Linked DNA regions of Drosophila melanogaster. The protein of the gene in region 1 purifies or fractionates together with the protein of each later gene. This does not show direct contact. Each region holds a gene or a part of one and is shown on either strand. Other genes may lie near its edges. The genes, in order: Nup35 and Nup154.

The links.
Region 2: the proteins of Nup35 (region 1) and Nup154 purify together in Drosophila melanogaster (affinity purification with western blotting, with the first as the bait; one study listed by BioGRID). This does not show direct contact.

Annotation. Positions count from the first base shown.
Region 1 is NC_004354.4:18,646,066-18,649,997, reverse strand, and holds Nup35 (nucleoporin 35kDa), read right to left. Parts: upstream 1,817-3,932; 5' UTR 1,693-1,816; coding exon 1,542-1,692; intron 1,483-1,541; coding exon 638-1,482; 3' UTR 509-637; downstream 1-508. Other genes in the region: Hou (houki), read left to right, coding at 1-465; Rip11 (Rab11 interacting protein), read left to right, coding at 2,778-2,808. UniProt on the Drosophila melanogaster protein: Functions as a component of the nuclear pore complex (NPC). May have a role in the organization of the inner nuclear membrane proteins at the nuclear envelope together with Nup154.
Region 2 is NT_033779.5:11,002,873-11,010,944, forward strand, and holds Nup154 (nucleoporin 154kD), read left to right. Parts: upstream 1-1,947; 5' UTR 1,948-2,107; coding exon 2,108-2,206; intron 2,207-2,266; coding exon 2,267-2,429; intron 2,430-2,495; coding exon 2,496-2,989; intron 2,990-3,048; coding exon 3,049-3,221; intron 3,222-3,289; coding exon 3,290-4,260; intron 4,261-4,319; coding exon 4,320-4,559; intron 4,560-4,622; coding exon 4,623-4,784; intron 4,785-4,842; coding exon 4,843-5,389; intron 5,390-5,447; coding exon 5,448-5,973; intron 5,974-6,038; coding exon 6,039-6,505; intron 6,506-6,570; coding exon 6,571-6,693; intron 6,694-6,754; coding exon 6,755-6,887; 3' UTR 6,888-7,038; coding exon of another isoform or gene 7,039-8,025; 3' UTR 8,026-8,049; downstream 8,050-8,072. Other genes in the region: RpL9 (ribosomal protein L9), read right to left, coding at 35-366, 639-879; Art8 (arginine methyltransferase 8), read right to left, coding at 7,039-8,025. UniProt on the Drosophila melanogaster protein: Component of the nuclear pore complex. Has a role in the organization of the inner nuclear membrane proteins at the nuclear envelope.

The DNA.
Region 1 (3,932 bases):
GAAGCCGTGCAGGCGGGCCGCATCGAGGAGGCCACCCAGCTGGTGAACCAGCTGCATCCTGAGCTGCTCGGCAGCGATCGCTATCTGTTCTTCCACCTGCAGCAGCTGCAGCTCATCGAGCTGATACGCGCCGGCAAGGTGGAGGAGGCCCTGTCCTTTGCCCAAAGCAAGCTGTCCGAGTCCGGCGAGGAGGCCATGTTTGAGCTGGAGCGCACCCTGGCCCTGCTCGCCTTCGAGAAGCCGCAGGAGAGCCCCTTCGCCGACCTGCTGGAGCAGTCGTACCGCCAGAAGATCGCTAGCGAGCTCAACTCGGCCATCCTGCGCTGCGAGCAGAGCGAGGACTCCACGCCCAAAATGATGTTCCTGCTCAAGCTGATCTTGTGGGCCCAGTCCAAGCTGGACAGCCGCTCCATTAGCTATCCCAAGATGAAGAACCTAGAGACGGCGCACCTGGAGCCCAAGTAGAAGGGCAGCGCCACCCCCTTCGACTTCTTTTGCTAATGCTATTGCTAATATATCTCCATTTAATAAGTATGTATATGTATGTATGCTGGATGTAGGCAGTGAATTATTAAATAAGTAGCCGGAAACTCCATCACTCCATCTATCCATCCATCCGACTTGCCATCAGCCCTTCTTACCAGCCGAATATCAGGTCCATGGCCTTGTCCATCAGACCGGAGCTCTTTTGCGGCACATCCTTCTGCGGCGATATGATGTTATCTTTGCGGGCCAGCTTGTACGACTGCTGGGAAAACGGTCGAATCGCACTGGGGCTGGTGGGGGGATCTCCTATCTCTGCATTGGGCACAGAGCCGATGTTCTCCTTATCGATCACCGACCTATCCGTGCAGCGCGACACGCCCACCATCACATTGCCGGCGATGATTTTTTCGTTGTAGTTCAGCGCCTTGTCGCTCTCGATGCGCGAGGAGTAGCGCACATACATCCAGTTGCCGTTCTGCGGGGCATGCACCACGTCCACAATGGTGCCGCAGACGGTGAAGTGCTGCAGCACCATGGAGCCGGCCCCCGGCGGGAACCCGAAGATGGTAACCCAAAAGTCGGATAGGCGCGAGTTGCCGCCCGTCGTCACGGATGTGCCCAGGCCTCCAGCTGGCGAGGCAGTGGCTCCAAGTGGCGAGCACAGTGCTCGCATCGAGGCATTGATGGCATTGGGCGCCCCGGGTGCGAACGAGTCATTCGTGTGATAGCTGCTCTGGTAGCTCTGGTTCGGTGACTGCAACTGCAGCATGCCAAGATGGTTCTTCTTCTTCGGGGTGACGGACTGTTCGCGCAGCGAGTCGAAGAGTCCCTGGGTGGGCGGTCCCGTCTGGTGGTGGCTGTGCGTCTGGCCGTGCGCGGTCGTTGAGCTGTTGGCGCCCACAGCCGTGTGGGCGCCTCCTTGGGCGGCGAACAGAGTGCGTGTGCTCAGAGCGGAGCGGTTGAGCTCGTGCGGACTGCTGCCGCCGGGCGAGGTGGCTGCGGGGCATGTGTTCATATAGCCAATGCGTACGAGCTGCTTGATGCCGGCTACTTACCGAAACTTATATTAGAGCGCCCGGTTTTCGGGGACAGCGTGTTCTTGTGCGGCGTTATACCTTGCGGATCGCCGAGCAGAAAAGGTGGCAGATACTGGGTCTGGTTGGAGCCAGGACTGTTGACCGGGCTGCCCAGATTCATTGGCTCCATATCGAATGCGAATATTAATTATAATAATTATAACGGCGAAAAACGAAAAAGCGTTGCATTAACAAGGACGCCACAGCTGTAATCGGTTAGTGCGACCAGGCTGGGCTGGGGTCGAAATGCTAGAGGTGGATGCCAACATCGATGTCATCGATGTTTTCGAAAAATCACAAACATCGATGTTTTTCAAAGAATCATCGATGTTTTTCCATCTTTACTGCGCATCGTAGGTTAAAAGTGTTTAAATTGTGAGTATAAATTAAATTTCCAAATTTTCCAATTTCCATTTATTAATAGCATATTGCAAATTTTCAGTGACTTGCTGGTGGTCTTGGCTGGCGTCGTGGAAGACGACACGTATATTTATGCATGTATGCATGCGTGCACCTGCTCGTATGCATACTGGCTTACTTTTCTATTGAATTACTTTTCTATTGAATTGCATTAATTAGTATATTTGATTTATAGGAGCAATTATTGGACCAGGGGCGGATAAAAACGTAGACGGCAATAAGCTTGTCATGTTTAGTTATAGTACTGCCTTTTTATTTAAGCAATTATAAAAAAATAATAATCTTTAAGTTAAGCAGTTAATTTTTTTGTTTTTATTGAAAACATCGATGTCCGCCAACATCGATTTCTCCACCTCTACTAAATACGCCGTTCTTCGCAGTCGCGCCGCGCAACTTGCACTTTTGCAGCTCCCCGACTGGCAGTGGGCACATTTCGTTTCCCCCAAACGGTCACTCTAGCGGCCACCTTTCAAACAACAACATCACGCGTCGCGTCTCCGTCTTTTTCCTTTTTTTTTTTACATTAGACTACACTACGTTCTCCTGGCGTTTCGTTCGTGTCGCGCGTGATTAAATTGGCAACTGAGAACAATAAGAAGAAATCACAGTGTGCGAGCAGCAACAAACACAACGATTAGTGTAAACAAAACACATCGACAACAACAATCCAAATTACAATATAGGCAAAGAAGAAGAAACGAAAGGCAGGACCTTCGCAGCAAGAGCGAGACAGCAAAGGATCGGGATCGGGAGAGAGCGTGAGAGTGCGACTTGATCAACGGGATACAGGGTGACATGTGGAGTCCGACGCACTGTAGTGTAACGGGTAAGTGGGGGCGAAAAGCGGGGGACACCCGTTTTAGTATTTGTGTTTTTTTTTTATTTTTTTTTTACGGCGAATAAATCGCATTAAAACTTAAACTCGTTTGTGCCGCGTGTGTATGGGTGTGTGGCCTGCGCCGTTGTGTTGGTGTGTGCTTAAAATATTGTCATGACGGTCGTGTTGTTCCTATTGCTTTTGCTGCAGACGTACCAATTCGAAATTTCACTTTTTCCCCACCGCGCGCTTCCTCCTTTTGCCATTGCCTCTTGCTCTTCCTCTTGTGTTTTCCTGACTCCAGCAATTGCCTTTTTATCAGGCTTTTCTGGCTGATAAGATAATTCCCTTGCTCGAATGCGCACTTACTCATCGCATTGCTAGAAAATTGCTCATGCTAAGCGCTCCCCTTATGTATTTGCATCGCCTTCCGCCCCTTGGCATTCCTTAGCATACGCCCATGGTGGCGCTTTTTTGGTGCCTCTTGTTTACCTTTGCCATTGTTTTCGTTTTGCGTTTTCTTCAGGGCTAAGTGTCAATGAGAAATCGCGAATTCCGATTCCAAATTCGTGACAAAACACAAAGCGCGCTCATTCTGCTGTTCCCAGTCCAGTGATTATGGAAACAAATAATAACTGAAAGCCAAAGCATAGATATTTTCATATCTCCAACATGGCCAATAAGACCCTTTAAGAAATGTTTTCCGCAATGTTAGTTATTGGTTGCAATAGTGGCCACTGGGCGGCCAAATGAGTAAATGAGTCACGAATTGTGGTTCAATCTAGAGCTGCGTGGAATTTACACAAATCAAGATGATAAATACACTGGGCTCCATTGACATGAACGGATCCAGCTTGTTGTGATCTTGAACTTGCCCCGCTATCAGTTAGTACGTTCTTTGCCTCAATTCGCTCGTTTCATTTATTTTGCATATTTGCACAGCGCACAGTGTTTTATTCCAGCAATTTGCGATTAAAACCCAGAGCCGTTGACGTCACGGCGAATGAGCAAACAAATCATCGCCGTGTGGCTCTCCCAAATTCGCCGAGTTTCGCCTTGTTTGTTAAGTTCATATGTACATATATACAAATGTACACGCACATAAATACACCTGTCAATATTTGCCAATTTCT
Region 2 (8,072 bases), on another chromosome or scaffold:
ATTAACATTTTAGGTTGAAACACATTCCAAAAGTCTAAGACTCTAGCTTCACAACGGTCGTCTTCTCGGACACGTACAGACCGTCAAGGAACTTACGGATATCCTTGTTCTTGACGGTCGTGGACTGCTGGATGAGGGCGGCAGATCCGGAGACAGACTCAATATCGTTTCCCTCCACGATAAGTTCGTCCTTCTGGGCAGTGGAGTTGACCACGGTGACGCCAGGAGCCATCTCCACACGACGGATGTACTTCTCACCCAAGAAGTTACGGATCTCAATGACCGTGTTGTTCTCGGAGGTGACACAGTTGATGGGGAAATGGGCGTACACAGCACGCATCTTGTACTGGAATCCAAACGTGACTCCTGGCGAGAGAGAAATTGCAATTAATTGTGTGGTACTTTGAATGCAAATGTCTTTAGGAACCTAATGCCGAATCTAATTTGCCAGCACACACTGAAAATATTTACTAACTACTATATAGCATTTTTAGGTAATTTGTAAAGAAAATTGATATCTATGAATGGAGTTTAGTAAATCGTCTTCCCAGATATTATTATTAAATTCTCGTGTGATTGGCAAATGAAAGGCCTGGCTGTGAAAGTGTTCCTGTTGTGTTTACCCTAGCTGTACGCACCCTTGATCATGTTCTCGATGTGACTGCAGACGGTGCGGACGGCGGCCAACTCCTTCTTGGTTCCGAACCACTTCTCCACCTTCAGGGTGCGCTTGTCGGGCATGTACATGTCCAGAGCCAAGTGCTTGAAGCTGCGCTTCAGGGTGCCGCGGGTGCCGGTGATGGTCACCACACGGGCCTTCACCGAGGCCTTGATATCCTTAGGGATCTTCACGCACTGGTTGGAATTAATGGTACGCATCTTGATGACACTGTCGGCAAAAACATTAATTATTAGTTTATCAAGGCTACAAGTGCTTGTCACAGAGCATTCCAAACATCGAATCGCAGAGTTCACATCGGGCTAACAAAACGTGCGCTGCCTATTGTTTTCCAATTTGTTTATGGATCATCCATCCCAGCGGAAATGGAAAAACGGCGGCTCTTCAGTGCCACACGCCAATTGCCGTTTCACTCGATTCGATGTTTTGGGGCGCTTTTTCACACAAAACTTACGCTCCGTTAGTCCCTCGTTTGTATGACACAAATTCTGGATGGACTCCTCGCTGCAAGGGGTGGTTTTAGAGATATTTTGGGTTAAAATTTCAATAAAAATATAACGCGGAACACACTACTCACCGGAAACGGGGAAAAGAAAAGAAGGGAAATTTAATGTGGCTGTGTGAGGCGCACAAAATGCGCTAAATTTTGAGCGCCATGTGCCGTTGGGGTGCTGTTAACGTTACGCATTGTGCTGTTAAGCGCTAGAGTTTCTGTGTTGAGTTACAGTAGTCTTTTTTTTTTTTTTTGAAAAGAAGGCTTAAATCAAGTCTATTTGGGAAAGCGGAAAGTGGATTTTAATCACAATTATAAAATCCATTGGCAAAGCTTCGAAATGCTGAATTCATTCAGTAGTTTGAGGTTTTACCGATTTTAGAGAATAACACACCTGTTGCGCTCAACTGAGTTATACTCTTCACATTCTAATATTTTTATATTCTCAAAAGTTTCCGGCATGGGAAGTGCTTTTTTTATTATACTTGTATTAGCACAGTTACTGTTTATATAAAATTATCAACGTTTTTTCAAAGTATTTAAGCCCACTGAATATGCCTACTAAAACCATTATTGTCTATTAATATACGCGTCCTTATCATATAATATATATTAGCAGTAAAAGAAATTATTATTAAAATATTAATTTCATGCACGTTTGCAAATGTTTCTTGTGACAGACGATTTCATAATACCCCGCTAAGGCGCCTGAAATTGTGAAATCCATTAATATTCAATCGAAATATACCAAAACAATACCGAGAATGTGAGGATATCTGGTAACACTTAGCAGAAGGCGGGAGCGTGGGTACATTGAGCATCAGTCGACCAAATCTTCAGATTAGTTTGTAGTTTCATCCCAAAACAGTGGTCTGACGGCATTTTAAGTTAGCATTGCACCCGAGTTAGCCCGCCTCATCACAGTTTTCAGCACGATGACTCTTCCGCAAGCACAGCTGGACTTTTTCACGACGGCGACCAGTATGCTGGAATGGCATTACAATCTGGAGAGAAATAAGCCGGGTCTGCTGGAAGTATGTATTGGATACGGATGTTTATCAGCTTCTCCTCCTTTAATGATACGTTCTTTGTAGCTGACCGGCGTTAGCCAGCATGGGCGGGCCACGATGAGCGGACTTAATGACTACGATTACCAGAGCCTGTCGTTTTTGAAATCGGATAGAACACATAACCTACAACAAATGCGAACGGTGACCAAGTCGGCTATTCCCAACGAGATTCTGGAGCACTTTAAGCGTACGTATCCTGGGCTTCATAGCCCATAGATCTATCCGTTCCAATCTTCGATCCTACCTGTTGTAGACATAAAATGCCACTGCACCATGGGCCTCTTTCCGGAAATCGGACGTGCCTGGCTGACTATCGATTCGGAAATCTACATCTGGACGTTCAATCAGACGAGGGATGTGGCGTACTACGATGGCCTCAGTCATCTGATCGTAAGCGTTGGCCTGGTGAAACCAAAACCCGGCGTCTTTGTGCAGGACGTCAAGTACCTCCTGGTTCTCACTACGCCCATTGAGGTCATTGTCCTGGGCGTGACATTCGGTGAGAGCTCGTACAACGAAATGCAGCTGATGAACCGGCCAGTTTTTGTGATTGGTACCGACAACGTGTCCATCAGCGTCATCAAAGGAACGGATGACGGCCGCATCTTTTTGGGCGGTCGCGATGGCTGCCTCTATGAAATTTACTATCAGGCCGAGTCCAGTTGGTTTGGCAAGCGATGCAAGAAAATAAATCTCTCCCAAGGACTGGTCTCCTATATGGTTCCCAGTTTTTTGAAGGTCTTTTCGGTAACTATTGTCTTTACTTCAAAAAATGTCCGTAACTATTTAGCGCGATTTGTTTGCAGGAAGTGGATCCAATCGAACACATTGAGATCGATAACAGTCGCAAGCTTCTCTATGTCCTTACGGAAAAAGGTGTCATTGAGGCTTGGGACATCAGTACGAGTTACACGACAGCTCGAAGACTAGGTCGGATTACCCAGAACGATATTACGAATCAAGCAGTTAGTCTGATCACGTAAGTGCTAGTTTCGCAAAGAATTTAACTGTAGTATGGTTAATTAATAACCATTATTTAAACTTTAGGACTGTGGACCCGTCCATTTTTAAAAGTGTGAAAGCCATCTGCCCTCTGAGCGCCGACGATGCCGACAAACTACATCTTGTGGCCGTTACTCAGTGTGGTGTGCGGCTCTTTTTCTCCACAACATCGCTAAATGTGAAGCAACAATTTGGTCCCGCGGTTCCTTGCAGTCCAGGTGAGAATACAGGATTCGGTCAGCCAGCAGTTCAGCCACCACTGTCTCCAAATGCTGAGGCTCCTAAGGGACTTTATCTGCTCCACGTGCGTCTACCACCCGGCTACACCCCAAATGCCACCACCAACAAACCAAAGCAGGTCCATGCCGCTCACTACACGGAGGGAACCATGTTGATGATCACAACGCAACAGCATGAACAGGATCTCCTCTGGTCGCTCAGCTCTGCCCCATCGGTTAACTTTACCTACCTGGTGGAGTCGACGGCTCTGGAGAGCCTGGATGGAGTTGTTTGGGGATTGGCTGAGGTACATGAACCGTCGACGCCACAACGAAAGTCACCCTTAAATAGTGCCCGACACGCCCGCAAAGTAGCCCTGCTCACCAACCAAGGCACACATATCATAGAGGTGCTTAAAATGGTGGACGTACTGCGTCAGATCCTTCTGTCGTGCAATGGCCCACACCACGAGGAGGTGAAGATGTTCTTCCAGTCGCAGAATCAGCGAGAGGCATGTGTCACGGCTCTGCTGCTGGCCACATCGGATACTTATCGTGGCAGTGACGTTGCTTTGTGGGCCGCCCAGGCGTTTATGCTGTACGGCGGAGAGCCATGCTATCAGCATCAAAAGTTCCTGAACGCCAGCAACCGCAATATGGCTAATCAAACTCTAGGCCCGAATACGACGAATGTAAGGGAGCGTCAATCCATGTTTATGTCCACGCCAATGCCGAATAGCGTGGCAAATAGTCCGGTTGGTTTTCCTGGATCGCAGTTCAATCAGCCCATAAGTCCAAGTGAGTTAAATAAGATCTTCCAGATTGCGAAATAGTAAACACAAATATGTATTTATCAGTTGGAAATATGCAGCCACCACAGGTGGCAGTTAGTAACGAGAATTCCCCAATCGTTTTCTCGGCCAAACACGACGGACTTTACATGTATGTCTCCCGCATGCTGCATTCTGTTTGGCAAATGCGCTGTGTAAATGAGCAATTTTGCTCTAATCTAAGTCAGAGTGAGTGTGCCCTCTTGCTATCCGATCTGCGTTCCCTGCGTAGCTTTCTGGAAGTGCACTCTGTGCACGATATTTCCTGTAAGTCGTGAACTTTTTATTGCAAGTTAAGGTACTTACTTATTAATTATACAATTGTTGCAGCGACTACTCGAGTGTCATTTGATAACCATTTGGATAGAACCAATTCATATAACACCATCATGATGGGCAACACTTTGCTGCCAATTCCTGAGCAACGCGTATTGTCCGAGCAGGCTCAAGTAGAGGAAACACGTTCGCTTTCCGCTCTCAACCTATTTGTCAGTAAGTAAAGTTGGGATATTAAATCATAAAGCTTGAACTTATCTACCGCCGTTTGCAGAACATGCATGTGAGGTTATATCGCTGTGGAACATCCTAAACTCGCATTCCTTCCAGCTGATATGCGTGCAACTCAGTCCGGAACATCAGAAGTTGTTGACATGCTCCACCTTCCGGGATCTTCTGATTACACGTTCAGAGGTCTGCGCATTCTTGATCATCTCGCTGATCAATCTGTATCTGAAGGACGCGGCGGGAGTGTCTGAAGTGTCCAAGAACTTACGTGAGAACTGCCCCAACCTATACAGGCATGAGGATGACGTGACCTACAAGGCCACCGAGTTGTTGATGAATGCAAAGAATTGCACTTCGGCAACCGAAAAGGAACATATGCTGCGAACCACCCTGCATATGTGCAAGGAAGCTGCTCCCACATTGCCACTGCATAGTATTTGCATGCAATTCATATCGGCTGACTTCTTTGAGGGAGTGATCGAGCTTTCGGCTGTTTGTGCCTCAAAAAGTGATCCAGAGGAGGTTGGTGTTCATTTCTATAACAATGGGGAACCCGCCGATGATCGCGAGGGTTACACTTGCTTTGCCACAAGGTAACTTCTTTAATAGTTTTTTTTTTTCTTGGAAAAACTAATTATTTCCACATCTTAGGATGGCCTACTACAAGGAAGTGCAACTTATGCTGGACCATATCTACCAGAGAGTATGCAACAAGACGCACGTTCAGGATAAGTCTATAAATCCACTTAAAGGTACGGCTAAAGCGTCCGATGCAAAAAACGGTGCTACGCAAACGATTCCAAAAATAGTGGCCCATACCCTAAAGGTGAAAGACCCGCTCATTCATATAACGCTCTACGAATGGCTGCTGGCCCACGACATGCTCAAAGAGCTTTTAGACGTGGTTGAGCCGTCATTAGGAGAGTTCTTGCGGCGCAGTGTGTCGCAAAATGTAGATAATGTCGTTCTTATCGATTTGCTGTGGAAGTACTACGAAAAGAATAGCCATCATTCCCAGGCAGCCCATATATTGGACAATTTGGCTATGACACGCAGTGAAAACATTAATCTGGAGCAGCGCATTGAGTACTTGGTGCGTGCTGTTATGTGTATGCGAAATGGTAACGTTGGCTCTTCATTAAGCAATGGAATATTCCTGAAAGAGCTAGAGGATAAGGTACGTTATAAGATCTCTGGAAAGATGTGGTGACCTATATTTAATAACATAATTTAAAAATTCAGCTGGACATCGCACGAGTTCAAAAATCAGTGCTTGCCGCGATGACAGAGTTGGCTAGCGATAAGCTGGAGGCAGCTACGGCTGTTAAGGAACTAAACTATGCGTTGTACGACATAACTCAGCTATACCAGCACTTTGCGGAGCCCTTCGACCTTTGGGAGTGCCAATTGTCCATACTCAACTGCTCGCATCACAACGACCCCCTACTGATCGAGTCCGTTTGGGGCCAGATTATCAACAGCGTTGTGGATAAGCCGGGCACAACTAGTGAGCGCTGCAATAGGTTATTCACGAAAATCGAAATCTTGGTAAGGGAGTATGGCGAGTCTGGAGTTTGCTTTCCCTTTGCCTTTCTCATAAGGGAACTGGAAGTTAAAGCCTGCCAACTGCGATTTCCCGAGGGCATAGTGCCGGAAAAACTGGTGAGTATGAATTTGGACATTGAACTGCTCCTGGAATACTATTCGAGGTACGTATTGAAGGGTTTTCGCAGAGATAAAATTGTTTAAAGGCTAAACTTTTAAAAACTTTCAGAATGATTTCAATGAACGAACGAGTGTGGGCCAACGAGGGTAATGAGTGGCATTTAATACAATCCGTCATACGAGTGGTCTCGCTTCTGGCAGACAACGCACAATCTATTTGGTACCGGTCAAAGTAAGTGCAAAAGTAAAATGCTAGCCGATACGATTTACTTACATTCACATTTAACTTGCAGACGACGAATTGTTGGCAAGGCTCAAGACATAGTGGCCGGCTGCCTGAATATTTGCTACCAAAAGCCCGACACTAATCGTCTTCAACATTCACTCAAGGAACTTCAGAGTCAGCTGCAGCGGTTGTTGATTTAAAGCCGTCGGCCTGCGTTATTTTAATTAAATTTTTGAAAGTGCTGGACTAGACGTTAAGTTTGACTGAGATATATATTGTATTTGTATTAAACATGTTAAATAAATTGATTTCCCCACAGATCGTTGTTCGGATTCCGAGATGGCATGTAACTCATGAGGTGTCCATCATTTTTAGATGAGCTTCCGTCAGAATGCACTTCGTCATGTGACAGGAGCAAGGCACTGGATGCTCCTCTGTGTTGGGGTCTAGCAAATCCACCTCCAGATTGTATTTACGCATATCGGCAGCACTGCGCTTCATTGTGATTTGAAATGCAATGGGTGACTTCTCCTCCAGATTTTCGCAGGATTCCTCGGGCAGGACGACTACACACTGCTTCCAATGCGTTGGCGGGGATAGCGGCGATGTGCTTAGAACAAAATCTTCGCCAGGAAACTGTACATCGAACCAAATGCAGAAGCCCTGGTGATTGCCCGCCTTCTGGGCTGTTATTACCTCCTTGAACTGAATGCTGTCCAAATCGCTGGCTTCCACATCCAGCAGATTCATCCAGTGAAAGACGACGCCCTCGTGCAGAAGATCTTGCGGATTCAGCTGTGTAATCTCCGGTCGGGATGACTTTTGGGTTCTGAGTTTTCTGGCAAACGTGTCCATTTTGATGCCGTCCACGTTGTGCCAATCATCGAAGAGCGATGGTACCGAGCAGGGTGCCACGAAAATTGTGCACTCGCTGGGGAACAGGAGTCCACCCTCCTTGAGGAACTTGTCCCGGGCCAGGAGAACCGAGTCCAACATGCCCTCGTGCAGCAGGTAGAAGCCCATCCACTCGGACACAATGATGTCCACCTTTTCCGCCTCGGCAGGCAGTACGAATTCCTCAACACGCGACTGGATCACCTTCACCACGTTCGTCAGGCCGTTATCCTCAATCAAATCCAGCGCAACTTTGGTGGCCACATTGGATGCTTCTACGGCGTAGACCAAACGGGCTCCTGCTTTCGCACAAAAGGCGGACAGAATCCCTGTGCCGGCACCAACATCCATTACGATCTTGTCCTTGAACAGATCCTTATTCCCCAATATCGCATTGTAGTAGGCTTCTTGCCGAGGACGATCCTTCAGCATGAGCTCGTGGATCTGTAGTTTGGTCACTATGAGTACAGTTTCACAAGAAGATCTATAAT